Anolis sagrei: one gene and its partners. The protein of the gene in region 4 purifies or fractionates together with the protein of the main gene of each other region. This does not show direct contact. Links are inferred from orthologs where the notes say so. Each region holds a gene or a part of one and is shown on either strand. Other genes may lie near its edges. The genes, in order: COPZ1, COPB1, NUDCD1 and COPG2.

Evidence for each region.
Region 1: the proteins of COPG2 (region 4) and COPZ1 fractionate together in Homo sapiens (co-fractionation; 5 studies listed by BioGRID and IntAct, with this or other methods). This does not show direct contact. The link is inferred for Anolis sagrei from reciprocal best matches to the Homo sapiens genes COPG2 and COPZ1.
Region 2: the proteins of COPG2 (region 4) and COPB1 purify together in Homo sapiens (affinity purification with western blotting; 4 studies listed by BioGRID and IntAct, with this or other methods). This does not show direct contact. The link is inferred for Anolis sagrei from reciprocal best matches to the Homo sapiens genes COPG2 and COPB1.
Region 3: the proteins of COPG2 (region 4) and NUDCD1 purify together in Homo sapiens (co-immunoprecipitation; 3 studies listed by BioGRID and IntAct, with this or other methods). This does not show direct contact. The link is inferred for Anolis sagrei from reciprocal best matches to the Homo sapiens genes COPG2 and NUDCD1.

What each region holds. Positions count from the first base shown.
Region 1 is NC_090022.1:188,474,483-188,481,853, reverse strand, and holds the start of COPZ1 (coatomer subunit zeta-1), read left to right. Parts: upstream 1-4,351; 5' UTR 4,352-4,439; coding exon 4,440-4,457; intron 4,458-7,371. UniProt on the Homo sapiens protein: The coatomer is a cytosolic protein complex that binds to dilysine motifs and reversibly associates with Golgi non-clathrin-coated vesicles, which further mediate biosynthetic protein transport from the ER, via the Golgi up to the trans Golgi network.
Region 2 is NC_090021.1:250,245,655-250,252,924, reverse strand, and holds the start of COPB1 (coatomer subunit beta), read right to left. Parts: upstream 3,015-7,270; 5' UTR 2,791-3,014; intron 1-2,790. Other genes in the region: PSMA1 (proteasome subunit alpha type-1), read right to left, coding at 6,504-6,560. UniProt on the Homo sapiens protein: The coatomer is a cytosolic protein complex that binds to dilysine motifs and reversibly associates with Golgi non-clathrin-coated vesicles, which further mediate biosynthetic protein transport from the ER, via the Golgi up to the trans Golgi network.
Region 3 is NC_090024.1:26,949,900-26,957,590, forward strand, and holds the start of NUDCD1 (nudC domain-containing protein 1), read left to right. Parts: upstream 1-4,674; 5' UTR 4,675-4,765; coding exon 4,766-4,889; intron 4,890-7,691.
Region 4 is NC_090025.1:194,475,143-194,482,485, reverse strand, and holds the start of COPG2 (coatomer subunit gamma-2), read right to left. Parts: upstream 3,019-7,343; 5' UTR 2,935-3,018; coding exon 2,898-2,934; intron 693-2,897; coding exon 640-692; intron 538-639; coding exon 457-537; intron 1-456. UniProt on the Homo sapiens protein: The coatomer is a cytosolic protein complex that binds to dilysine motifs and reversibly associates with Golgi non-clathrin-coated vesicles, which further mediate biosynthetic protein transport from the ER, via the Golgi up to the trans Golgi network.

The DNA of each region.
Region 1 (7,371 bases), on a different chromosome or scaffold from region 4:
TGCTGGTGATTGCCCTGCTTTTCTTGCTGTTCCTAGCAGTGGAGATTTTTCAACACTGTCTGCAAATGCACCACTTCCAGAAACCATGTGGCCTCATGAATATTTCTAGGGGCTTTCCTTTGAAGTTATTCATCTGCCCTCTGGTGGCGAGACACCTATGAAGATTTTGTTACACTTCTACAGATAGGGGTTGGCTTGAATGGTATCTGTACAAAAGACCTTAAAACAAAGGTTTAGGAAATCATCATAGGTGTGTGTGGAGGCATTCCAGTGGTGAGCAAACCTTAAAGGTATATGGTCCTAAACACTTGCATATTGGGGCTGAAAAAACCTCTTACTGCCTCTAACCTCTCAAAGAGGCATTTCCCTGTTTTTTGATGACAAAAAAAACCAAAACAAAACAAAAACAGCACAAAGGCTTGGAAACAATGTACCATAATATAAGATCATCAGAAGGAGCCCTTCACAGCCCCACCATCATCACAAGCATTGTTGGTGGGGACACAAGAGGGGCTCTTTTACACTGTAGAATTAATGCAGTTTGACTCCATTTTAGCTGCTATGGCTCTATAGTATGGAATCATGATAGTTGGAGTTTAGTGAGCCCCCAGCATTATTTGTTGGAGAAGCTAAAGACGTAAAACTACAACTCATGTGATTCTATAGCATTGAGCCACAACAGTCAAAGGGCCCTTCCACACAGCCCTATATCCCAGAAGGCAGAAAATCTCACAATATCTGCTTTGAACTGGGTTATCTCAATCCACACTCAGATAATGTGGGGGTTTTCTGCCTTGATATAGGGCTGTATGGAAGGGCCCAAAGTGATATCAAGTTGCATTAATTCTACAGTCTTGTAGTTTAGTCTGATGGCTTTTTGCTCAGGTAGGCTTTTAAATGTTTTAATTAATGGGCTTTGGGAGTGGTGTATTATTTTAGTTGAACTGTTTTTATGAGCTTTATATCTTTTAATATTTGTTGTTTATTCATTCAGTTGCTTCTGACTTTGTAACCTCATGGATCAGCCCACGCCAGAGCTCCCTGTCGGCCGTCATTACCCCCAGCTACTTCAGAGACAAGCCAGTCACTTCAAGGATACCATCCATCCATCTTGCCCTTGGTCGGCCCGTCTTCCTTTTTCCTTCCATTTTCCCCAGCATCATTGTCTTCTCCAAACTTTCCTGTCTTCTCATTATGTGGCAAAAGTACTTCATTTTTGCCTCTACTATCCTTTCCTCCAGTCAGGCTTTATTTCCTGGATTATGGACTGCTTGGATCTTCCCTAAACTACAAATCTGCTTTTTTATCTGACTTACTTGGGAACTGCGATTTCCTTCCTTGGACCCCTGGGCTCCATTCTGTAGTGTGCTGGTCATAGACTGTAATAAATAATTATTAATAATAACAATAATAACACTGGGCATGCGTATTCAGCAGCAAAGTAGCAAAGCATAAGGGCAGATGCCTTCATTGTCTCTGGTTGTGATCTCCAGGTTGTGGTCAAGAGAAGGTCAAGGGCTTGAACACTGTTTCCATCCTAAATATCTCGGTGTCACCTTAGATCGAACACTAGCATATAGGAAACACTGCTTGAACACCAAGCACGAAGTAGCTGCACACAATAACATCCTGCGGAAATGTGCTGGCAGAACATGGGGTGCAGACCCAAAATTAATAAGAACATCAGCCCTAGCCTTGTCTAACTCAACTGCCGAGTATGCCTTGCCTGCCCTGTTTGGAATAAGTTTGGCATAAGTCTGCCCATGCAAAGCCGGTGAACATAGCATTGAACTAAACATGCAGAATAATCACAGGATGTCTTAAGCTTACACCTGTTGACAAACTCTACAAGCTATCCCCCCCCCCAAAAAAAACTACCACTCCTCTTGGCGTCCCCCCAGCAACAGCAAGGGTATCCCTCTGGGCAGCTAAACGAAGAAATTCCAACTGGATGGCCTCCATGAGGGTCTTCCTCCAAGAGCGGGCAACTTGGAAGTCCCTGAATAGACTCAGAAGCGGAGTGGGCAGATCAAAAGATAATCTGGCAAAATGGCACTAACTAAAAGAATCCCACACCTTGTGTGAACATACAACTCTGCATCTGTATGCTTGTCCACTATGCCCTGCCTCATGTACAGAGGAAAAATTGTTGGAGGCCCATTTTTAGTCAAAAGATATTTAGCCGCCTGCGCTCTTTCTATTTTTATCAGTTTGACTAGCTGTACCTGCCACGCGTTGCTGTGGCCAACATTCACTCCCTCTCTCTCCTTCTTTCCCTCCTTCCCTTTTCTTCTTTCCTTCTCTCCTTCCTTCCTTCTTCTGCTTTCCTTCCTCCCTTTTTCTTTTCCTTCCCTTTCTTCCTTCCTTCTCTGCCTCTTTCCTTCCTTCCTTTGCTTTTTGCTTCCTTCCTTCCTTTTGTCTTTCCTTCCCTCCTTCTTTCTCTTTCTTTCTCTTCTTCCTTCGCTCCCTCTTTCCTTCCTTTCTTTTCTTTCCTTCTCTCCTTCCTTTTTTCTCTCCCCATTTCTTTCCATCCTTCCTCTTTCTTCCTTCTCTACCTTTCCGTCCTTCGCTCTTTGTTTCCTTCTTTCTTTTCCCCTTCCTTCTCTCCCTCTTCCTTCCCTTTTTTTCTGTATGTAATTTATCTTTTCGTCATTTATCTTTTGGGAGGTTTTAAGTCCTTTCCACTGGTTTTTTTTTTTTTTTTTTGGATGGGGAGTATGAGTGATGGTCACTCATTGGTCTGTTTGGAGTGTTGGGTCCAAATTTTGTGTCATTTCATCCAGTGGTTTTTGAGTTATGTTAATCCCACAAACGAACATTATATTTTTATTTATATAGATACTAATTTATGCAATGCTTTTGACACTAAATAAATAAATCCCCAGGTTGTGCCATTCAGCTTTCGTATGATATTATTTCAAACAGAAGGGACAGAGAATTTCATCTATGCTGACGATCGTGCCATTACTGCTCAAGCAGGGAGCTTTGAGATGGTAGAACAGAAGCTTTCCGAAGCTCTAGGTGCTCTTACTGCCTATTACAGGGAAAACCAGCTGATCCCCAACCCATCTAAAACACAGACATGTGCCTTTCATCTCAAGAACAGAGAAGCATCCCGAGCTCTGAAGATCACCTGGAAAGGAATCCACTGGAGCATCGCAGCGCACCCAAATACCTGGGAGTCACTCTGGACCATGCTCTGACCTACAAGAAGCACTGCCTGAACATCAAGCAAAAAGTGGGTGCTAAAAACAATACCATACGAAAGCTGACTGGCACAACCCGGGGATCACAACCAGATACAGTGAAGACATCTGCCCTTGCGCTGTGCTACTCTGCTGCTGAGTATGCATGCCCAGTGTGGAACGCATCTCACCACACTAAAACCGTGGATGTGGCTCTTAATGAGACATGCCACATTATCACGGAGTGTCTGCGCCCTACAGCACTGGAGAAATTACACTGCTTAGCCGGTATTGCACCACCTGACATCCGCCGGGAAGTAGCAGCCAATAGTGAAAGGACCAAGGCAGTGACATCTCCAGCTCATCCCCTGTTTGGGTATCAGCCAGCACATCAATGACTTAAATCTAGAAATAGTTTTCTAAGATCTACAGAGACACTCGCCGGAACACCTCAGCAAGCGAGAGTCCAAAAGTGGCAGGCTAAAACCCAGAACCTCAAATCAATGGCTGATACCAAATGAGAGACTCCCTCCTGGGCACACAGAAAACTGAGTGAACAGACTGCGCTCTGGCACCACGAGATGCAGAGCCAACCTTCAGAAATGGGGCTACAAAGTGGAATCCTCGACATGCGAGTGTGGAGAAGAGCAAACCACTGACCACCTGCTGCAATGCAACCTGACCCCTGCTACATGCACCATGGAGGACCTTCTTGCAGCAACACCAGAGGCACTCCAAGTGGCCAGATACTGGTCAAAGGACATTTAATCAACGACCAAACTCACACATTTTGTATTTTGTCTGTTTGTTTGCTTTGTTCTGTTAGAAATGTAATATAATTTGACTGGTTGTCCTGACACGACAAATAAATAAAAATAAAATAAATTTCAAGCACGTGTCTGAGCCAGGCCCCAATCCTGCCTCTGCCTTAAGAGCTTCCCTCTTCACCATGGAAACTGGCGCATTCTTTCCTTCCTGTAGCTGGGAAGCGAGGGCAAGTGAGTGACAGCTTCGTTTTCGAATCACAAACGGAGGCGGGGCTTCAAGGCGAGCCACGCCCCCTCCCTGTTGTGCAGTGAGGGAAAAGGCAGCCCTGGTGAAAGAGGTGGCAGGTTAGACGAGGAAGTCGAGAGGCGGCCAATCAGCAGTCGCTCAGCGCGGCGAAGGCGGGGCCTAACGGAGAGACGGGCCCGAGGCCAGCCAATCCGGTGCAAGCTAGGTCCGTGCTCCACGTCGGCATCAGAAGCGACCAAGATGGAGGCGCTGATCCTGGTAGGAGCCGGAGGGGCAAGAGAGGGGGAGAAGGGGCCTTGCGAGGGCGCGCGCCGTCGCCATGGAGACGGGACCCGGTGGGCGGGGCCCGTCGCCGGTTGCTGGGGGCCTCCTTGGGTCCGGGCCTGGGCTGGGAAGGGGGCCTCCAGCAGGGAACAGAGGGGCCGCTTCCCCCGCTATGGAATTAAAGACAGCTTGACGCCACTTTGGCTGCCATGGCTCAATGCTGTGGAGTCTGGGAGCTGTAGTTTGGTGAGGTCCCAGCCCTCTGGCCAAAGAAGGCCCAAGCAATGGTTCCCAACCATTGTGTTTTGGCCTACAACTCCCAGAAATCCCAGCCAGTTTACCAGCTGTTAGGATTTCTGGGAGTTGAAGGCCCCATTTGGGGACCTACATGTTGAGGACCATTGGCAAGGCCTTGTAAAACTACAACTCCCAGGGAGCCGTGGCAGCTGAAGAGGTAGCCTTATCTATATGACCATAGAGCAGAAATGTGAAGACAAAACTGTTTTTAAGTCTAGTCAAGGCACTCATTGCCTCTGCAGTGAATGGATCCTTTGAACTCCCAACTATTATAAGGCAGGAATAAAGTGCCCCTTTGCTCCCTATAAACTAGGAACTACATTTCTCCAGCATCTTCCAATCCCCATGGGTGACAGGCGAAACAAATCGGCCAATCCAAAAAGATGATAGCCATGTATAAATATGTGAGAGGAAGTCACAGGGAGGAGGGAGCAAGCTTGTTTTCTGCTTTCCTGGAGACTAGGATGCGGAACAATGGCTTCAAACTACAAGAGAGGAGATTCCATCTGAACATGAGGAAGAACTTCCTGACTGTGAGAGCCGTTCAGCAGTGGAACTCTCTGCCCCGGAGTGTGGTGGAGGCTCCTTCTTTGGAAGCTTTTAAACAGAGACTGGATGGCCATCTGTCAGGGGTGATGTGAATGCAATATTCCTGCTTCTTGGCAGGGGATTGGACTGGATGGCCCATGAGGTCTCTCCCAACTCTTTGATTCTATGATTCTATGTTATTCATCTCAATTGTGCCTCCTTGAAAAGGGAGATCACTCCCAAGAGAAGAGTCCATCAGCTGGTACAGGTTGAGCATCCCTTGTTGGGTATCTGGAAATACTCCCAAATTATCCACCTGAGTACCTGAGACATTGTCCTCTTTGTGGGTGCTTCAGTTTAGACAATATAATAATAATAATAATAATAATTTTAAAAAAACTATTTATACCCCACCACCATCTCCCCAAGGGTACTCGGGGTGGCTTACATGAGGCCAAGCCCAACAACACATCAGTAAAACCAAAACAGCAAGCAAATAAACAGTGCAATTAATATAACTCACATATAAACAATAACACAGAGAATTTAAAACCTTATGTACAGACAAACTGTGTTCTGTGAACTTACTTTCATTATTAAAAATATTGTGCTTAAAATACCACCAGCAATGTATATACATTTCATGTTTAGATTGGGATCCCTGCTTTTGAAGATACCACATGTTGGGTGTATATTCAAATACAGCTATTCCAAAATCCAAAACACTTCTTGTCTCAAGCTTTTCAAATAAGGGATACTCAACCTGTCACCATAATTGGTCTCCCATTATGCTGGATCTACACTGCCAAATAATCCAGTTTGTGAATCCAGATTATCTGCTTTTGATTATATGAGTCTACACTGCCATATAACATATAACAATTCAAAACAGATAAATTGGATTCAGAAACTGGATTATATGGCCTTGTAGATGAGGCCTTAGGGCCCTTCCACATCACCATAAAACACAGAATATCAAGACAGAAAATCTCACAATTTATGCTTTGAACTGGGTTATCTGAGTCCACCCTGCCATATATTCCAGTTCAAACAGATAATGTGGAATTTTATTCAGCTGTGTGGAAGGGGCCTTGGTTAGTTTTCCTCACAGAGATCCTCCATAGAAGTTGTTGCTTGTGTTCATTTGTAATGCAGCATTGTAACCCTATATTAAAAGAACCTGAAACTGTTATAGGAAATGCTGGGGCTTCAGACAATTACTAATGAGGGCTGTGTGTATGTGTCCACTGCTGAAGTTAACATGACTCACCAAGCATTTGATTATTACAGGACTTAGAGGCAGTGTTGTCCAAAGCAGTAGTCCATGGGCTGGTGCTGATCTGCAAGTTAGAGAGGGTCTAGGAAAATAAGAAACAGTTGTCATTGGGCACAAATATTGGGCCAATCCATTGCACATTAGGAGGAAAGGTTGCTGGTGTCCTATATCTTACAGCTTTAGACTACATTCTTAAGATTGCGATGCCATACACATATGATTGTTGTAGACTTATCTTTACTTCATAGAATATCCAAACTACAATGACTGTTTAATGCAGTTTCAAACCAGTGTTGACTGGTTCCAGGAAATCCTGGAACCAGTTGGAGGCCCGGATAGTGACTACACAAAGCTTAAGGGCTTTCTTTTGTGTACTTTTGTAGGAGTTTGTTATCAGGCAGCTACAGTTTGAATCGAACATTGAACTGAATTAAATTGTCAGTTTAGATGGGGCCTTGTTTAGTTGCTGAGCTATTAGTTCTGTACAGATTATGGACTTCGCTGTTAACTGTTGCCAACTGTACATTGACTTATGGCAACCCTATGAATGAGAGACCACCAATTCACTCTATCCTCATCTGATTTTTCAGGCTCAAGTTGGTGGCTTTTTTGCTTGAGTCTAACCACCTGGAATGTGGACTTTGTCTTTAAGTGTTTGCACCTTACCAAGCATTACTGTCTTTTCTAATGAGTCATACCTTCTCATGATTTGTATAACAGTCTCGGTTTAGCAATCTTGACTTCTCGGGAGAGTTCAGGTTTGATTTGCTCTAGGACTCATTCATATGTCTTTTTAGCAGTCCACCA
Region 2 (7,270 bases), on a different chromosome or scaffold from region 4:
CGATGTACCAATAATTTTAAAGTAAACAATCCAATTAATGTGCAATACAAGCATGTAACCTTAACCCTATTGAGAAAATCAAGGCTGCAGCCTAATGCAAACCTATTCAGAAGCAAGCCCCTTTAGATTCAGCAAGGGGTACTATCATATGATATATTATCAGATAAATATGTACACAATTTATCTGTGTCATACGCACATTGCACAAGTGTTAAAATATAGTAGCAATGGAAAATAAACAAATTTATATTGTTACAAAGCTACCTTAATAAATGACTACAATATCAAGCCTTTTCTGATAAGGAGTGCACACATAAGGAAGATACTACAGAAACATAAGTGACTATACATCTCATTAAAATAAAAGGGCAGGATCAAAACTGAGCACCTTACGATCCACCATTATAACGGTTAGACTGAAATATATACTTAAAATTTCAATAGATTTAAAGAAACCACTGTGAATGACTTATTTTAAAATATATAGCTGTGCCAGCTAGGAAAGATGGAAGAACATTCAACACATCTGGAAAAGATCAACAAAGTCAAGAGGGCAAAACAAGGACAGTAGAGTAGGCTATAAGAAAGATTTATGGGTTTGTTTGTGTGTGTGTGTGTGTGTGTGTGTGTCAGGAGCAACTTGAGAAACTACAAGTCACTTCTGGTGTGAGAGAATTGGCCATCTGCAAGGCTGTTGCCCAGGGGACGCCCGGATGTGTTACTATCCCGTGAGAGGCTTCCCTCATGCCCCCGCATGGGAAGCTGGAGCTGACAGACAGGAGCTCACCCCACTCTCTGGATTTGTACCACCGATCTTTCGATCAGCAGTCCTTCCAATACAAGGGTTTAACCCATTACCATTATTATTATTATTATTATTATTATTATTATTATTATTAGCCACCTTGATGAGCATTTAATGACCTGAAGTTTCAAGGCCTGGCTGGTTGCTGCGTGGGGGAATCCTTTGTTGGGAGCTGTTAGCTGGCCCTCATTTATCCTTGTTTAGAAATCCTGTTTTCTGAGTGTTGTTCTTTATTTGCTGTTATGATTTTAGAGTTTGTTTCAAAAAAGACTGGTAGCCAGATAGTGTTCATTTTCATGGTTTCCTCCTTTCTGTTGAAACTGTCCACATGCTTGTGGATTGCTCTGGCTTTTCTGTGTAGTCTGACATGGTGGTTGTAAGAGTACAATTCCACAGATATATAAACCTCACTTGCCTAGTTTCTTGGGGTTGCCTTTGAAGACTGTTCAGAAGCTCCAATTAGTCCAACGCTCTGCAGCCAGGTTGCTCACGAGAGCTGGGTACAGGGAGTGCACACCCCCCCCCCCCCGTTACACCAGCTCCACTGGCTGCCAATTCGCTTCAGAGCACAATTCAAAGTGCTGGTTTTAACCTACCAAACCCTATACAGCTTGGGCTCGGTTTACCTGGCCAAACGTATCTTCCCCGATAAACCATTGAGGATTACAAGATCTTCTAGAGAGGCCTTGCTCTCGGTCCCACCACCTCCGCAGGGGCGTTTCGTGGGGACGAGAGACAGGGCCTTCTCTGTGGTAGCTCCCCCCCCCCCCCCCGGACTATGGAACTCTCTCCCTGGTGAGATTAGGTCTGCCCCCTCTCTCCTGTCATTCAGGAAGCAGCTAAAATCCTGCCTGTGGGCTCAGGCATTTGCAGATTGATGGATGATTGGATATAGACTAAGAGTAATTTGGCCACAATGTTTTGGACTGAGTTGGACGTTGTTTTAATGTGATGAATTGTTTTTATATGTATTTTAGAACTTATTTATTGTATGTTGTTTTATTATACTATTTATTGCGTAGCATTGAATGTTGCTGTTTGCCGTCCTGAGTCCCTCTACGGAGGTAGAGAAGAACGGCACACAAGAGTTATAAATAAATAAATAAATAAATAGTTTCTAACTGACTTCACAACCTCTGAGGATGCCTGCCATTGATGTGGGCAAAACGTCAGGAGATAATGCTTCTGGAACAGGGACATTCAGCCTGGAAAACTCACAGAAACCCAGTGAATCTGACCATGAAAGCCTTCAACAACACTTTGGCCATCACTGCAGGTGTTTTGGACTCCAACTCCCACAATACCTAACAGCCTCAGGCCCTTTCCTTTTCCCCCTCAGCTGCTTAAGCTGAGTTTGCCCATGACTGGCTTATCTCCTCTTCTGGAGGTCTAAAAGCAGAAACTGGATGGCCATCTGTTGGGAGTGCTTTGATTGTGTTTTCCTCCCTTTCAGGGGGTTGGACTGGATGACCCATGGATCTCTTCCGACGCTAGCCATAAGGCTACTAGGGATTGTGGTGGTTGGAGTCCAAAACACCTGGAGGGAAGTTGGTCCATGCCTGGTCTAGATGCACCCTGAGAGTCTGAAGACCAGGGTTTGCACCCCTGCTCAGCCAAGGAAAGGCAATGAGTGACGCTGGGCAAGTCACACTCTCTCGGCTTCAGAGGAGGGACATTCAAATCCACTTTGAATTAATCTTGTCAAGGAAACCTGAAGCTTTAGAGTCGCCATGACTCAGAAACGACTCGGAGTCTCCCCGCAGGAATAATTCGCGGGATCCAGCGGACAATGCTCCAAATAGCGGGGATCCTGTGGAAGTTCTGCTTTCGGCCCTGGGTTGGTTTGGCTGGCGGCTCCTAGGCTTCGCAAAGCTGGGCCTTCGGAAAGGGAGAGAAGGCCCAGCGTGAGTGTATGTGTGTGAGAGCGAGCAAGCGAGCCCAGGGTCCGCGGCCTCTCCTCCCAGTCAGACGCGGATACAACTCACCGCCGCTCCGTCCTTTCCGTGTGGGCCTGCCCTCGCCCAGGGAGCCTCCGGGTGGCTGCAGGCAATCGGGTGCTATCTTCCCGCGGCGGCCACTACCACTATCCTCCCTCCGCCGCTCACTTCCCCCGCCGCTCCCGCCGCCTTCCTGCTCCCGACTCCTCCAGCTGACGTGGAAGCAGCCCTCCGCGCACAGGCCACATCGGAACTACGGCGGCCCGATTGGGACACGCCTCCTCCGTTCGCGGAACAGGCGTGCTGCCTCCAGAGGGGGAAAGCGCGGCCTCTTCCGCGTCCCTCGCGCCCGGGGCGGGGCCAAGCGGGTTGTCGCATCCAGCTCAGTGCAGCAAAGATCTGTAATGGTAGTACTGCATAATATAGTCCAGGCATGGGCAAACTTGGGCCCTCCAGGTGTTTTGGACTCCCAACTCCCACAAGGACTAACAGCCTCAGGCCCCTTCCTTTTCCCCGTTAGGCCTTGTGGGAGTTGGGAGTCCAAAACACCTGGAGGGCCCAAGTTTGCCCATGTCCGATAGTCTTAAAAATTGTCTCTCCCCCTCATCTATTATAGCTTCTATCAGGGGATTGGGTCATGCCACATTATCGTGGGATGTCTGCGCTCTACACCACTGGAGAAATTACATTGTTTAGCCAGTATTGCACCATCTGACATCGGCCGGGTAGTAGCAACCAATAGTGAAAGGACTAAGGCAGTGACATCTCCAGCCCACCGCGTTTGGATAGCAGCCAGCATGCCAACGACTTAAATCAAGAAATAGTTTTCTAAGATCTACAGAGAAACTTGCTGGAACACCTCAGCAAGCGAGAGTCCAAAAGCGGCAGGCTCAAACCCCGAACCTCAATCAATGGCTGCTACCAAATGAGAGACTCCCTCCTGGGCACACAGAAAACTGGGCGACTTGGAAGGCGTTGAACATACTGCGATCTGGCACCACGAGATGCAGAGCCAACCTTAAGAAATGGGGCTACAAAGTTGGATCCACGACATGTGAGTGTGGAGAAGAGCAAACCACAGACCACCTACTGCAATGCAACCTGAGCCTTGCCACATGCACAATGGAGGACCTTGCAGTAACACCAGAGGCACTCCAAGTGGCCAGCTACTGGTCAAAGGACATTTAATAGAATACCAAGTCTGCAAACTTTGTGTTTTGTCTGTCTGTTCATTTGTTTTTAATGCAATACAATTGTTTTGGTTCACTCCTGACACGATAAATAAAGGGGATTGGGTTGTGGCGCAGCTGGTTGGGAGCCAGCTGCATTAAAATCACTACTGACCGAAAGGTCACAAGTTCGAAGCCAGCTGGGGTCGGAGTAAGCTCCTGACCATTTGTCTATCTTGCTGTCGACCTTTGCAGCCCGAAAGACAGTTGCATCTGTCAAGTAGGAAATTTAAGTACCACTTATGCGGGGAGGCTAATTTAACTAATTTACGATGGCATTTGAAAAAATCTCCAGCAGTGTGCACGGTGAAACAACAACTCCACCGTGGCCGGAATTCGATCATACCCTCGTGAAGCTGGAAAGTTAAATAGCCTCTGTGTGTCTTTCTATATATGTTGTGTGTCTATGGCATTGAATGTTTGCCATGTATATGTGCATTGTGATGTGCCCTGAGTCCCCTGCAGGGTGAGAAGGACGGAATATAAATACTGTAAATAAATAATCAAGTTCTTCTGTGTTTTAGTTTCAATTAGTTACGCACTGTTTATTGTAATAAATTTCTATTTTAGAAGGGCGTTGTGATGTTTGCTTTGTGTAGTTAAGTTTTAACTGTAGACAGGAATCACACCTGTATAGAATGTTTTTCCTTTTTTTTGTCATTTTCTCCATTATTTAATGTTGATCCCCCCGCCCTTGGGATCAATAAATTACAGTAGTGAATAAGGAATATGATGCTCCAGTTGTGTACTACAGAGTAGAAATGATACTACTATGGTGAAATGTCAGAGCTCAGACAACAATACCCCTTGCCACATATAAAGAGGGTTAAGAGGGGAAGAGCAAGAGGCTGGCTGTTTGTCATGAGAATGGAAGCAAAGAAAGAAGATATATAATGAAATGGGCTAGTTTATAAAGATTTAAACTGAAACAATTGCTCCAAGCCATTCAAAATGCTCAAGGGGAAAAGGCATTACTGCTTTCTCTTCTTTCATCATCATCATCACCATCATCATTTAATTACTTATTAATCGCCCTCCATCCAAGATGCTCTTGGCGATTTACAAGCTGAAATTGTAAAGGATAAAAATACATACATACAGATATTGATAAAATTAACATAGATCAAATGCTCTAGTAAAAAGCCAGGTCTTAAGTGCTAGGGTAAAAGGCCCTAACTCACGAATGGCTCTCAGGGCGGCAAGGAATTCCACAAGGCAGGGGCAGAAATAGAAAAAGCTCTGCATCTGGTCCTTTCCAGGTGCACTTCTCTAGGACCTGGTATATAAAGTAAGTCATGTTGGGATGGTCGTTGCGACCTCTGATGATGGGAGAATGAGAGACGGTCCCTAAGGTACGATGGACCCTGGCCGTAAAGAATTTTAAAGGTCAGAACTAACATCTTATACAGGCCACGGTACTCAGTTGGAAGCCAATGTAAATGTTGCAGCACTGGTGTAATATGGCAGTTATTCTTTCCCTATCATTTACTGTATTTTCAGTGTTACCATTCATAGTTCATATACAGTACAGGCAGTCCCCAAGTTACAAACAAGATAGATTCTGTGGGTTTGTTCTTAAGTTGAATTTGTATGTAAGTAAGAACATTTTAAGTGCAACTCCAGCCATTTATATAGGTATATATTCCACAAGAAACCATTTTTTTCTTTCTGCACTGTCAACACCTATTACAACACTGAAAGAGTCCACATGACTAGGACCGCTTATATTGTTGTTGTGTGCTTTCAGAACATTACAGTGAATGTAAGGCGAACCTATAAAAGAGTTTTCCTGGCAAAATTTGTTCAGGGGTTTGCCATTGCCTTTCTCTGAAGATGAGAAAGTTTAATTTCCCCAAAGTGACCCTGTGAGTTTTATGGATGAGCAGAAATTTAAACTATAGACTAATGCTCAAACCACTATACCAAACATGTTCTCATAACAAGGGCCTGGATTACAAACAGAAGAAAAATAAAGACAATGCAGCATTCATTATTTAAATCATTGGATCTTTAGTATGAAACAAATAGTTAACTATTGTTTCATACAAGTCAAAAATGCTTGACTATGCTGAATTATTTAAGTTCTTCAATATTGTCTGGTTTTTGAAAGTTACTCCCTTTGTAAAATGAAACCATTTCACAAAACCAAAGTGAACATCATGGCAATACGAATTATAGTATTAAATGACTGGCTGATGTTTCTCTGACTAATCAGATAAAAAAAGCTAAAACAAGACATTTCAGGAAAGAAAGATTTATTAACAGATGCCTTTAAAAAAGCAACTTTTTATATAAAACAGTATTCCATACTTTTTTTTAAAGAAAATGACAGCTTTTCTTGTCAAGATAAATGGTCAGTTTATTAATTCCCCACTGCCAGTGTCAAGATTTTTGGCAATACATTTTGAAGACTGACTCACTATAACATGTCACTACAATACGCATTCATCTCAGAGTTAAGTTGCCAGAATACAAATGAAGACTCCCAGCAGTGCTGCAATTGGAATAAACCCCATATTTTGTGCGCAGTATTTAGTGCTCCATTGGCTCCTCAGGCTTTTCTGCTGTTTCCTCAGCAGGTTGAGCAGTCTTAAAAAGATAAAAAATAGGCAAGTGTTACACTTTTAAGCTTCACTGATCCCAAACTGTAAAAGAAAATCTCGTAATGAAATGCTGCAATCTTTATTCAATATAAAAGCTACAGAACTGGGTATAAGATCTAATCTTCAATTTTCCATTTTTCTTTATTCAAAGTCAAATGGTTTCATTTTTTGTCAGAATTTGTTTATTTAATTCATATGCAGTACTATTTTAACTAAATGTTTAATCTTCTAATAAAAAAATATTGAGCGGAAATTCCAGTTACCTCCAACCAAACGTTTTATTGATAAATGTGATTTTGTGATTGAAAAATCCAATGAAGTCAGTCCAGAATAGCCTGTTAGTGTTTAGTAACTGAAATGTGTTTACTAACAATTTCAGCTTCTAAACTGTGGCACCCAACATTCAAAATGTGCCGACAAATATTGGGGTATCCCTTCAGATCTGGGGGGGGGGGGAGTCTGCCATTTCCTATTGAATTATTGAACAACAGAACAGTTGTAGACACTCATTTCATCCATGTTTCAAAAACGAGGAAAGCCAATTAAGGCTAGATAAAGGACAAAACATTTGTCTGGTGCAAAAAGAGCAAAGTAAATACCAGGTGTGCTACCCTGGATAGAGCATTTGGCAGAAGAGATGCTGCCAACACAGAAGTATCTTTGCTATCATCTAATCTTTGAAGGACCTCAAATAGA
Region 3 (7,691 bases), on a different chromosome or scaffold from region 4:
TCACCCCAGACCTTCCGCAGAAATGTGAAAACATGAGTTTTTGAACAAGCCTTTGGAACTATGTGAAATCGAATATTGGAATGGCTTAGATGATGTTTTTGGACAACTAGGCTAATAGTGAAGGTAGTGGTTTATATGTTTTTAAAGGTTTGAATGTATGTACTTTATAATTCTATTTTAAATGTTTATTATAATTTTACATTGTTTTAATGGCATCAAACAGCTGCCTATGTAGTAAAGCCACCTTGAGTCACCTTTGGGTTCAAGAAAGGTGGAGTAGAAATAACGTAAATACATAAATAATAAATAAACTGCATTAATTCAACAATGCAGATGCACTCTTGGGCTGAAGATGCAGTTAGCACAAAGCAACTATTAGCGGCATATACAAAGCAACTATTAGCTGCATATGTACCTAATATGCAGAGACATTTTAGGTACACATTTCAGTTTTAATTTCATATTTAGACTTGTGTCTCATCAATATCTCATTGTGGATATTGTTTTTAAAAATATATTTTGGATAAGGGATACTCAACCTGCATCGCTGCAAAGTAAACATTTTTATAAAATCAAACCTCTTTTTCTCTTTTTCTCTTTATTATCCAATGCTGTCTGGAAGGCTTAGGAAAATATTTAATTATCATTTTTTGTTGTTCATTCGTTCAGTTGCCTCCAACTTCTTGTGACCTCATGGACCAGCCCATGCCAGAGTTCCCTGTCAGCGGTCACCACCCCCAGCTCCTTCAAGGTCAAGCCAGCCACTTCAAGGATACCATCCATCCATCTTGTCCTTGGTCGGCCCCTCTTCCTTTTTCCTTCCAGATACCCATGATGCTCAGGGATTTTTCAAAGCCACAAAGGTCATCTATGGACCAAGAAACCATGGCATACAGCCTGTACACTCATCAGATGGAACCAAACTTCTGAAGGACAAAAAAATCAATTGCACTACGTTGGAAAGAACACTACCAAAGCCTCGGGCTTTATTTCCTGAAATATGGACTGGTTGGATCTTCTTGCGGTCCAAGGCACTCTCAGAACTTTCCTCCAACACCACAGTTCAAAAGTGTCTATCTTCCTTCACTCAGTCCATCTCTCACATCCGTAGGTGACTATGGGGAATACCACTGCTTTAACTATGTGGATTTTGGTTGCCAGTGTGATGTCTCTACTCTTCACTATTTTATCGAGATTGGTCATTGCTCTCCTTCCAAGAAGTAAGCGTCTCCAGATTTCCTGGCCGCGATTTCTTGACAAAGTCTATCACGGCCTCCATGTTTTCTCCCTCTATTTGCCAGTTATCAATCAGTTTGGTTGCCATAATCTTGTTTCTTATATATATATATTTAGCTGCAACCCAGCTTTTGCACTTTCTTCTTTCACCTTGATTAGAAAGCTCCTCAGCTCCTCCTTGCCATCAAATTGGTATCATCTGCATATCTAAGGTTGTTAATGTTTCTTCCAGCTATTTTTACCCCAGCCTTGCATTCATCAAGCCCCACACATCGCATTCATACAAGTTGAATAGGTTATTATTATTATTAACTTTATTTATACCCTGCAAAATCTCCCGAAGGATGCGGCTTACAAAGGCCAAGGCCGCCGACAAACAACAACATACAATACACAATAAACTCATAAGCAAATAATAAACATCAAGCAAAACAATAAAACAGTAAAACAATGACACCGTGATGCAATTAAAACCTAAAGGCCGGGCCAAATGTAATGGACAAAATTTTAAAAGTTCTGAACTTGACAGGTGATATGTAGAGGTATTTGGTGGTAGGTGCAATGTGCAGATAATCCTGAATCTCTAGCAAAGTGCATTTGGGACTTGATGCCAGGAGTTTCCTATTCTGGAAAGGCACACTGGAACAGCCAGGTCTTCAAGCTCTTCCTAAAGACAGCCAACGTTGGGGCTTGTCTGATGTCCTTGGGGAGGGTGTTCCAGTCGGGGGGCCACCACAGAGAAGGCCCTGTCCCTCGTCCCCACCAAACGCGCCTGCGACGCAGGTGGGATCGTGAGCAGGGCCTCTCCAGATGATCAAAGGGAGCGTGCGGGTTCGTATTTGTTTGGTCACGCAGGTAGGCAGGTCCCAAACCGTTTAGGGCTTTGTAGGTGAGCACTTGCACCTTGAATTGGGACCGGAAAATGAACGGCAGCCAATGGAGCTCCTTGAACAGGAGGGTTGACCTCTCTCTGTAAGGGGCCCCAGTTAACATCCTGGCTGCCGCCCGCTGAACTAGCTGAAATTTCCGAGCCGTTTTCAAGGGCAACCCTTGTGAAACTACAACTCCCATAATTCCATAGCATTGGGTGAGAGTATGCAACCGTGTTGTACGCCTTTCCCAATTATATCAATTTTAGTATTTAGTTATTTAATATCCCATTTTCATGTCTTTATGTTGTTTGGTACTTGAATGTGTATCTATGTTGATATACAGTAAATTTAATGTTTAAAGAAACTTTCTGAGAAATGTCCTAAAGAAGGAGCAGTTATATTAATCTGAACTCATGCTACATCAGAATTATGAAGGTGTGTCTACACCGTAGAATTTAAGAAGTTTGACACCACTTGAACCGCTTTTGCTGAATGCTATGGAATCATGGGATTGCTGAGGCCTCAGCCCTCTTTGGTAGAGAAGGCTACAGCCCTTGTGGAACTACAACTCCCATAATTCCATAGCACTGAGCCTTGGCAGTCAAAGGGGTGTCAAACTGCATTAATTTCACGGTGTAGATGCACCATTATGACTTTTAAAAATGAGGTCTCCCCGACCAGCTCAATTAAACAGCTGAGAATGGGAAAAAGTGAGTGAGAGAGAGGCAGGTACCTGTCCCGGAGGCCCTTCGCTTCCTCCCGGCTCTTTCCTCCCAAAGTCGCCTCCAACTCCCCGCCGCGCAGCCGCAGAAACGCCCAAGAGGGTCCCGCCCACCGCACTACGTTCTGACCTCATGCCTCGCAAAGCAGAACGGGAAACGTAGTCCTTTATTGCGTCTCCCCTTGTTCTCCAGTGTCTCAAATGAACTACAAGTCCCAGAAGGCCGCATTCTCAAAGCAGCTCTCCCTTATCTCCTGGATGTTCTATATTAGGATAGGGTCTTATTTAAAACGGAGAAAATGAATCAACTAAATAATAATAATAATTATTATTATTATTATTATTAATTAATAAGCAAAATTAATTGATGCTATGGGATGGGGCAAATAAATGGGATTTATAAATCAGTTATATTATGAATCAACTAATAATTAATTAAATAGTAACTAATGAGTAAAATTGATTAATGCTATTGGGGCAGGGGCAAATAAATGGGATTTATAAATAAGTTATATTATGAATCAACTAATAATAAAGAATTAATTAATATTAATAACTAACATTAATTAATGTTATTGGGATGGGGCAAATAAATGGGATTCGTAATTAAGTTATATTGCCAATCAACTAATAATAAAGAATGTATTAATTAATTAATAATTAATTGAGTAAAATTGATCAATGCTATTGGGATGGAGGCAAATAAATGGGATTTGTATTTAGTTATATTGTGAATCAACGAGTAATAAAGAACTTATTAATTAATAATTAATTGAGTGAAATTAATCAATGCTATTGTGGCGTAGGCAAATAAATAGGATTTGTAATTAAGTTATATTATGAATCAATAATAAAGAACTTATTAATTAATTCGTATTTAATTGATGAGTAAAATTGATGCTACTGGGGCAGAGGCAAATAAATGGGATTTGTAATTAAGTTTATTGTTAATCAACTAATAATAGATAACTTATTAATATTAATGAATGAAAATAATGAATGCTGTTGGGGTGGTGGCAAATAAATAGGATTTATAAGTAAGTTATATTATGAATCAACTAATAAAGAACGAATTAATTAGTAATTAATTATTAATTAGTAAAATTAATCAACACTATTGGAGACGGGGAAAATAAATGGGATTTATAAGTAAATTCTATTATGAATCAACTAATAAAGAACTAATTAATTAGTAATTAATCATTAGTCAGTAAAATTGATTAATGCTATTGGAGGCGGGGGCAAATAAATGGAATTTATAAATAAGTTATATTATGAATCAATTAATAAAGAACTAATTATTAATTAGTAAAATTAATTAAGGCTATTGGAGGCGGGGCAAATAAATGGAATAAATAAGTTATATTATGAATCAACTAAGAAAGAACTAATTAATTAGTAATTAATTAGTATAATTAATAATTAATTAGTAAAATTGATACTATTGGAGGCGGGGGCAAATAAATGGAATTTATAAATAAGTTATATTATGAATCCACTAATAAAGAATTAATTAATTAGTAATTAATTAGTAATTAGTAACATTAATTAAGGCTATTGGAGGTGGGTGCAAATAAATGGAATGTATAAATAAGTTATATTATGAATCAACTAATCAAAAACTTGCTAATTAATTAATAATTAGTAATTAATTAATTAGTAAAATTAATTAATGCTATTGAGGTGGGCAAATAAATGGGCTTTTAATCCCCTGTGGATGTGCTTCAGGGATTCCTCATAAACAAGTCTTTGAATGAGAACAGCCAAAACGCAGAAGTTGCCCACTCAGTGGCCCGGATGTAGTTCTTGAGCAGCAGTCACTCAAAAAACTACACTTCCCAGAACGCTTTGCTCGCACTCTTCTACCTAGAAGCCTCTGCGGGCTGGAAGAGGCGTCCTGGCTTCCCTGGGCCTCTAATAGGAGAAGAAAGAAGCGATGGAGGACAAAGCGGCGGCCAATTGCTCCCTGCGGGTCAAGCGCCCCCTCTTGGACCCCAAGTTCGAGGGCTACAAGCTGTCTCTGGAGCCGCTGGCCTCTTACCAAGTCGCCCTGGACTCCCGTAAGTGGATCTCAGCACCAGAGACTGGCCAGGCGGGAAGACACAATCAAAGCCCTCCCGACAGATGGCCAGCCAGACTCTGTTTAAAAAAGGGGCTGGCAAAAAAGGGATATCCAGGATTCTATAGTTAAAGTAGTGTCAGGTATGATCCAAAGCAGGAATGGGCAAACTTGGGGCCTCCAGGTGTTTTGGACTTTAACTCCTACAATTCCTAACAGCCGGTAGGCTGTTAGGAATTGTGGGAGTTGAAGTCCAAAACACCTGGAGGGCCCAAGTTTGCCCATGGCTGGTATAGACAGCGACACATCCATGGGGTTGATCTTGTCATTTGAAAGTTGTAGTTGCTGGGATTTATAGTTCACCTAGAATCAAAGAGCATTCTGAACTCCACCAACGATGGGATTGAACCAAACTTGGCACACAGAACTCCCATGACCCAAGTTGGTGAACTACAACTTCCTTGAGTTTTGGGAGTTGTAGTTCATCTACATCCAGAGAGCACTGTGGACTCAAACAATGATGAATCTGGACCAAACTTTGTTCAAATACTCAATATGCCCAAATGTGAACACTGGTGGAGTTTGGGGAAAATAGACTTTGACATTTGGAAATTGTAGTTGCTGGGATTTATAGTTCACCTACAATCAAAGAGTATTTTGAACCCCACCAATAGAATTGGGCCAAACTTCCAACACTGAACCCCCATGACCAACAGAAAATGTGTTTTCTGATGGTCTTTGGCAACCCTACTGGAACCCCTTCATGACCCCCCCCCCCCCCGGGGTCCCAACCCCCAAATTGAGAAACACTGAATTAAGTAAAAGTAATATCTAAACAGGGAGAGCCATATTACAAGCGTTAGGATTGTCTGTGGCCCCCATCTACACAGCTATATAATGTTTGCTGCCAGTTTCCTACAAAGCACAGTTCAAAGTACTGGCTTTGCCCTATAAAGCCCTCAATGGCCCCGGCCCAAATTACCTGTCCAAACGTATCTCCCTCTCTGAACCAACAAGGAGGTTAAGATCTGCTCTCGGTCTCATCACCTTTGCAGGTGCGACTGGTGGGGACAAGAGACAGGACCTTCTCAGTGGTGGCCCCTCAAGCTGTGAAACTCCCTCCCTAGTGGCATTTGATTGGCCCCTTCCCTGCTGTCATTTTGCAAAAGAGTGAAACCTTGTCTTTGGGATCATTTCGGCCAGCATAATTATGGGTGCAATATAGTTGGAAGTGATGCATGCCATATGCCAGCAAATATGGAAAACACAAGAATGGCCATCAGAGTGGAAAAAATCAACTTATATCCCCGTACCAAAAAAGGGAAATGCGAAAGACTGCTCCAACTTCCGTACAGTGGCCCTTATTTCTCATGCCAGTAAGGTAATGCTCAAGATCCTGCAAGGAAGACTCCAGCAATACATGGAGCGAGAGTTGCCAGATGTACAAGCTGGGTTTAGAAAAGGCAGAGGAACGAGAGACCAGATTGCCAATACCCGCTGGATAATGGAGAAAGGCAGGGAGTTTCAGAAAAACATCTACTTCTGCTTCATTGACTATTCTAAAGCCTTTGACTGTGTGGATCATAATAAACTGTGGCAAGTTCTTGGTGCGATGGGCATCCCAAGCCACCTTGTCTCTCTCCTGAGGAATCTGTACAAGGACCAAGTAGCAACAGTCAGAACTGACCACGGAACAACAGACTGGTTCAAGATTGGGAAAGGCGTACGGCAAGGCTTCATACTCTCACCCAACCTTTTTAACTTGTATGCAGAACACATCATGCGATGTGCGGGGCTTGTTGAATGCAAAGCTGGGGTGAAAATTGCTGGAAGAAACATTAACAACCTCAGATATGCAGATGATACCACCCTGATGGCCGAAAGCGAGGAGGAGCTGAGGAGTCTTCTAATCAAGGTGAAAGAAGAAAGCGCAAAAGCTGGGTTGCAGCTAAACATCAAAAAAACCAAGATTCTGGCAACAAGAATGGTTGACAACTGGAAAATAGAGGGAGAAAATGTGGAGGCCGTGACAGACTTTGTATTTCTAGGCACAAATATTACTGCAGATGCAGACTGTAGCCAGGAAATCAGAAGACGCTTACTTCTTGGGAGGAGAGCAATGTCCAGTCTCGATAAAATAGTGAAGAGTAGAGACATCAGACTGGCAACAAAGATCCGCCTAGTCAAAGCCATGGTATTCCCTGTAGTAACCTACGGATGTGAGAGCTGGACCTTAGGGAAGGCTGAGCGAAGGAAGATCGATGCTTTTGAGCTGTGGTGTTGGAGGAAAGTTCTGAGAGTGCCTTGGACTGCGAGAAGATCCAACCAGTCCATCCTCCAGGAAATAAAGCCTGACTGCTCACTGGAGGGAAAGATACTAGAGACAAAGTTGAAGTACTTTGGCCACATCATGAGGAGACAGCAAAGCCTAGAGAAGACAATTATGCTGGGGAAGGTGGAAGGTAAAAGGAAGAGGGGCCGACCAAGGGCAAGATGGATGGATGGCATCCTTGAAGTGACTGGACTGACCTTGAAGGAGCTGGGGGTGGTGACGGCCGACAGGGAGCTCTGGCGTGGGCTGGTCCATGAGGTCACGAAGAGTCGGAGACGACTGACCGAATGAAAACATAGTTGGAATTGCCTTTGGATTGATGAATAGGATGATCTGACTTTGGATCGATGCACAATAGTTGTCTAATGTTTACATAGGTTGTTTTAATGTTGTTTTAAATTATTGTTTAATTGTTGTTGTTGTTTGGGCATAAAATAATACCGCTCATGTAGGCCGCCCTGAGTCCCATTC
Region 4 (7,343 bases):
TCTGTGCAACCTTGTTTCCTGGCTTTTCAAGAGACTTTGGACATTATCCTTTGTGGGTTTTAAGGACTATGCATTCGTGGATTTTGCTGTGGAAATAAGTATCAACTATGCTGTATTGATGGACTGTATTTGCTGACCTGCTGGGTCAGATGGTTTTTAGACTTTCTTATACAACTTTTTACTTGCCTTTTTCACCTTTCTTGATACTGCTTGCATTTATTCAAATAAACTGTTTATTTGCTAAAGAACTTTGGAGTGTTTGTGGGTTTAAAGGTGTGCTTCCAGCCTTGGTGTGCGACAGGTGGAATGTTAAATAACCTCTGTGTGTTTGTCTATATATGTTGTTTGTCTATGGCATTGAATGTTTCACATGCATATGTACACTGTAATCCGCCCTGAGTCCCCTGCGGGGTGAGAAGGGCGGAATATAAATACTGTAAATAAATAAATAAATACCTGGTTCAGCAAGTAAAGGATCTTGGTCAGGATGTGCAGGCATCTCCGTGGGTTGATAGGGGTCTCGTTAAAGATCCGAGCCTATGGGGAGATGGACAAAAATAATGCAGGAAATACGTACAGGGAGAGTTGAAGGACGCACATCCTGTACTTCTGAGATGCAATGAAAGGGCCCGGCCTCACCTCCTGAAGGATGGCGCTCTTCTCCAGATGCTGGAAAGGGTTGGAGCCGCTCCCTGAGGAAGAAGGGAAAGAAGCACATCATTATCCACATTATCCAGTTTTTTGGTTTTTTTTGGTCGTGTCAGGGGTGACTTGAGAAACTGTAAGTCACTTCTGGTGTGAGAGAATTGGGCGTCTGCAAGGATGTTGCCCAGGGGACGCCTGGATGATTTGATGTTTTTATCATCCTTGTTGGAGGCTTCTCTCATGTCCCCATATGAGGAGCTGGAGCTGATAGAGGGAGCTCATCCGCCTCTCCCCGGATTCGAACCTGCGACCTGTCGGTCTTCAGTACTGCTGGCACAGGGGTTTAACCAGTAATAAATAGAGATGGGGAAGAATCTTTGGCTAATATCCCCATTAAAGGAGCCACACATCTTCCGGTCTGGCTCTACGGTAGGCATGGGCAAACCTGGGCCCTCCAGGTGTTTTGGACTTCAACTCCCACAATTCCTAACAGCCAGTAGGTAGAAGGTGTTGCATCCTAGAACAGGAACGGGACTCTCTAATCATTAATTACACCACACCTTGAATGAAGGAAGAGTCCTTTTTATTTTAAGAATAACTGGAACCAATAAAAGAGATGATTATAAAAATTTCATCTTATTATAAAAATAAGCAAAAAGCCAAATAAAGCAGCAACATAAGCAGTGTCCAAACAAAGGAATTATATCCATGTCCCAACCTCGCAGAAATAATCCACAGGCAATGAATAACCAAAAAGACTTTAGAATAAACCCATGAACAGACTAGCCACTGCTAATCCACTTGAAAAGCCGTGAATCCTTAGAGACAAAGCCACATGAAAAAGGAATATCCAGGAGACTTGAGTTTGATTCCAAACAGTGCCTGGTCTAAAGAAAATTCTCTAAGAGCTCAATTTAAGTCCCAAAAACTGGTTCCTACTCCCCCCTGTTTTTGGCCTTAACTGCCGAATTCTTTCTGACCTGCGTAAACATTGGGCCTCTCAATGGTTCTGGCTGATCTGGCATCGATATTCCTTCGCTCAGCCTTCCCTAAGGTCCAGCTCTCACATCCGTAGGTTACTACAGGGAATACCATGGCTTTGATTAATTATTTAATTATTTAATATTATTAATTATTCCTACTATTATTATTATTCCTATTATTAGTATTATTATTAATTATTCCTACTATTATTATTATTCCTATTATTATTACTTATTCCTACTACTATTATTATTATTAATTATTCCTATTATTATTATTATTATTAATTATTCCTCCTATTATTATTATTCCTATTATTATTATTCCTACTATTATTATTATCCCTATTATTATTATTATTATTATTCCTACTATTATTATTAATTATTATTATTCCTACCACTATTATTATTATTCCTACTATTATTATTAATTATTCCTATTATTATTATTCATATTATTATTATTAATTATTCCTACTATTATTATTATTCCTATTATTATTACTTATTCCTACTACTATTATTATTATTAATTATTCCTATTATTATTATTATTAATTATTCCTCCTATTATTATTATTCCTATTATTATTATTCCTACTATTATTATTATCCCTATTATTATTATTATTCCTACTATTATTATTATTAATTATTCCTATTATTATTATTCATATTATTATTATTAATTATTCCTACTATTATTATTATTCCTATTATTATTATTATTCCTACTACTACTATTATTATTAATTATTCCTATTATTATTATTATTCCTATTATTATTATTCCTATTATTATTATTTATTCCTATTATTATTATTATTCCTACCACTACTATTATTATTATTCCTACAATTATTATTCCTATTCTTATTATTTTTATTATTCCTATTATTATTATTAATTATTCCTACTATTATTATTATTATTCCTATTATTCCTACAATTATTATTCCTACTATTATTAATTATTCCTATTATTATTATTATTATTATTCCTACTATTATTATTATTATTCCTATTATTATTTTTATTATTTATTAAGGACAAGCAGGACACGCCTCTTTCATGCTCTCCTCTGAAGACACGCCCCTGGGGGCGTGGCTTCAGCCCTGGGGCGTGGCTTGAGGCCTAAGTTCCTCTCTATGTACGGGGCCGCCTGGCCTTTATCCCAAGGGGCTTGCCAATCTGCCTAGCAACGGGGCCTACCTCGAAAGGCTTGCCACCTTAGCGACGCCAGCCCTCCCAGCCCGTCTCTTACCAGACTCCTCATCCTTCTTGTCGAACTTCTTGATCATGGCGGCGGCCGGCTCGGCTTCTGGCCGCCGAGTTCGAGCTTCCACCGCTCACAAATCCGGGAAGGAAGTCCCGCCTTCCCACTGGATGCACGCTTCCATTGGCTAGAAGGCGCTGTCACTCAAAACTTCAGGGCCACGCCCATTCGTCCCTCTCAACTGCTGACATCAGTCTGTATTTGCATACAGCACGCCCCCTTCCTTTGTAGCCACGCCCACACGGAAGGGAAGGAGAAATACAGTACGTCAGTCTTGATTTGCGTATGGCCCGCCCCTTCTCCCTTGTAGCCCCGCCCACAAGGAAGCAACCAGCCTGATTTAAAGGGGCCGCAGCATATATTTACACTCCTTTTGTTTATTGATTCTAGGGAATCAATAAGGCGGTCAATGGGGAAGCTTTTGACCCTCCATCTCCCATCATCCCCATTCAGCAAGGATCATGGGAGTTGCAGTTCAGATTATCCACAACTCTTGAAGGTAAACACTTAACCCTTGGCATCACTTCTTTTTTGGAGTCCAAATTACAGTTAATGGTGCATCTACACTGTGGAATTAACACAGTTTGATACCACTTCAAGCTGCCCCAGTTCAATGCTGTGGAATGCTGGGAATTGCAGATTTTCCAGCATAGTAAGTGGCTCATGGGAGCTGCAGTCCAGATTATCCACAACTCTTAAAGGCAACCATTTAATCCTTGGCATCACTTCTTTTTTGCAGTCCAAATTACAGTTAATGGTGCATCTACACTGTGGAATTAACACAGTTTGATACCACTTTAAGCTGCACCAGTTCAATGCTGTGGAATGCTGGGAATTGCAGATTTTACAAGGCCTTCCGTGACCTTTTCTTCATTCCACGGAACTCCCAGTATTACCAAGCACTATTAGAATAGTTTGACCATTTCTGCTCCCTTGGCAGCTACCTCTCCACAAAAGTCAACATTGACACTGAAAGACAACACCGCCTGAGCTCTGCGAGTGCAGCATTCTTCCAAATGAAGCAGAGAGGGTTACTCCGAACGCAAGATCGGAAAACGAAATGTTGGTGGGCAGGAAAAGAGATTGAAAGATGAGTTCAAAGCCAACCTTAAAAACTCTGGCATAGATATTGAGAATTGGGAAGCCCTGGCTCTTGAGCGTTCCAGCTGGAGGTCAGTTGTCACCAGCAGTGCTGTATCATAGAATCAAAGAGTTGGAAGAGACCTCATGGGCCATCCAGTCCAACCCCCTGCCAAGAAGCATTCAAATCACCCCTGACAGATGGCCATCCAGCCTCTGTTTAAAAGCTTCCAAAGAAGGAGCCTCCACCACACTCCGGGGCAGAGAGTTCCACTGCTGAACAGCTCTCACAGTCAGGAAGTTCTTCCTCATGTTCAGATGGAATCTCCTCTCTTGTAGTTTGAAGCCATTGTTCCCTTGCGTCCTAGTCTCCAAGGAAGCAGAAAACAAGCTTGCTCCCTCCTCCCTGTGGCTTCCTCTCACATATTTATACATGTCTTTCATATCTCCTCTCAGCCTTCTCTTCTTCAGGCTAAAAATGCTCAGCTCCTTAAGCCGCTCCTCATAGGGCTTGTTCTCCAGAGCCTTGGTCATTTTAGTCGCCCTCCTCTGGACACATTCCAGCTTGTCAATATCTCTCTTGAATTGTGGTGCCCAGAATTGGACACAATTCTGTAGGATTTGAAGAGGCACAAATGGAGGGCGAAAGGGAGAAACGTGCCAACAGGAAGGCGCATCAAGCCAACCTCAACTAGGACCACCTTCCTCCAGGAAACCAATGCCCTTGTAAGGGATCAAGGGTTTAGGGTGCAGGGTCCCTTTTCGAAGAAATCCACAGTCTAATTGGTTCATGTGAGACCCCATTTATTCAAGCTGATCGACATGAGACGGACAGACAGCACTTTTGTTTGTGCTTTAACAGACTGCCACACCCCCTTGGCTTTTGTACACCGTTATATACTCAAGTAATACAAGGGATTACTAGTACTCTCTTTCCAGCCCCCCTCCCTTGACCTTTTGATGGAAAGTACCTTCTTGTACCTGCAGACTCTGCGCTTAACTGCAACCTTTGCACTTAACCACAACCCAACTTCCTATGTAAGCTTGAACTTTGTATGACCTCTACATGATGCCTCTTGTTTTTAAAACATTTTCTTCCGTGTTGTTCCTTTTCTACAGAGATAGGGTATATTTCTCTTTTGTTGTTAATTTCATTCAAAGCCCCTTGCTTAGCATTTGCAAATTTCACTCAAAGACCCTTTCACCCTCACTGCGGGAGAAGATGCGGGTCAAGAATAGGGCTCCCCAGTCAGCTACGGACACTGATCTTGGAAGACAATCCTACTCAGACAATGAGGGATTGCCTAAGTAAGTAAGTTACTCTCCAGGTTAAGTTTGCACAAATCCAGGATTTCCTAAAATGAAACCTATCTAAACTTGGCTGTCTATTTATACTGTCCTGGCAGTCAGAATGGCTGTTGCCAATAAACATGGCTATTGTTTCCAGGACACGGATTCAACAGATCAAGCCAGGGAAAGAGAAATGCTTGCGCAAAAGCATAACAATCCTGAGGTTTACTTAATGTAATGCACTTTTTGCATTTTCATGATAACTCCCTGAATACGGTCACCTCTCCGTATCCATGGAGTCAACCATCAGCAGCTTGAAAATAGTGTTGCATAATATCTTTGCAGAAGCCTGTGGGGAACTTGGCCTCTCACTGAACATCAAGAAAACTAAAATATTCTTCTAACACCAGAAGGCACCAACCAATCCCTCCGCAATGCCAGAAATACAGCTTAATGGTGTAACGCTAGAAAATGGGTTGCTATGAGTTTTCCGGGCTTTCTGGCCATTTTCCAGCAGCATTCTCTCCTGACGTTTCGCCTGCATCTGTGGCGAGTGGCATCTTCAGAGGTCTGTTGGAAGTGAAGCAAGTGGAGTGTATATATCCCTATGGAATAATGTCCCGGGTGGGAGGATCTCTTTGAAGCGAGTGTGAATGTTGCTTCAATTCCGTTGGACTGGCCACCTTGTCCAGATGCCTGACCGCCGTCTCCCAAAGCAGTTGCGCTACTCCAAACTCAAGAATGGAAAACGGAATGTTGGTGGACAGGAAAAGAGATTTAAAGATGGGCTCAAAGCCAACCTTTAAAACTTTGGCATAGACACGGAGAACTGGGAAGCCCTGGCGCTCCAGCTGGAGGTCAGCTGTGACCAGCAGTGCTGCAGAATTTGAAGAGGCATGAATGGAGGGCGAAAGAGAGAAACATGCCAAGAGGAAGCCCAACCCCGACCGGGACCACCTTCCACCTGGAAACCGATGCTCTCACTGTGGGAGAAGAGGTAGCTCAAGAATAGGGCTCCACAGTCACCTATGGACCCACCTCCAGTACACCCAACTTGGAGGACCATCATCCTTGGACTACAAGGGATTGCCTAAGTAAGTAAATAAGAATGTTGCAACTAACCAAGTCCTTTCTCCCACCCAGGACATTCCATAGGTGTAGTCTTCCCTCGCTACTTCACGGTTCGCTTTTAGCAGACTCGCTGTTTCGCGGTTTTTAATTAAATATGAATTGAAAATATATATCACAGTATTTTCGCGGTTTCGCGGGTTTTTTCTGCTGCCGCTTTCCGAGGCGCTTTCCCTCCTCAGTCCTCTCTCTCTCCTACCTTGAAGGCCTTTCCTTTCTTTCCTGCGCTCTCTCTCTCTCTTCACCTGGTGAAGCAAAAGGCGAGGAGGGCTAAGTGAGCGAACACTGCATATATACTCCACGTGTCTCAGTAGCAACAGAATCTCTGATGATACCACTAGCCGCAGATGCAGGTGAAATGTCAGGAGAGAACGCTGCTGGAACATGGCCATACAATGCATGTGGTAGGCCAAAAAATGTACAGCAACTGTCACGATGCTAGGGCTCTGCCAATATTTAGGCAGAGATGAACCAAACTCCCAGTTTTTGTTAAACAATTTAATTAAAACAGCACTTACTTTCTGGCTGTTTTAATAGTCCAAAACATAAAACATAAAGATAGCCACAGAATATAAATAAAGTGTTATTCAAGTGTTATGACCATGCTGTTACATCCCGAATAGATTACTGCAACACACTCTACGCAGGGTTGCCTTTGAAGACTGTTCGGAAGCTTTAACTAGTCCAACGGGCAGCAGCCAGATTGCTCACCGGAGCATCATACAGGGAGCGCACCACCCCCTACTATGTCAACAGCTTTTTCAGCAATGGTTTTATGATAGCTTGTTTTAAGCTTGCTGGAAACTTTCCCTCCTGTAAGGAGGCATTAACTACCACCTTCACCCACTCTGCCAAGCCCCCTCTGGCTTCTTTTATCAGCCAGGATGGACAGGGGTCTAGGATGCATGTGGTAGGCCTCACTTCCCCAAGGATCCT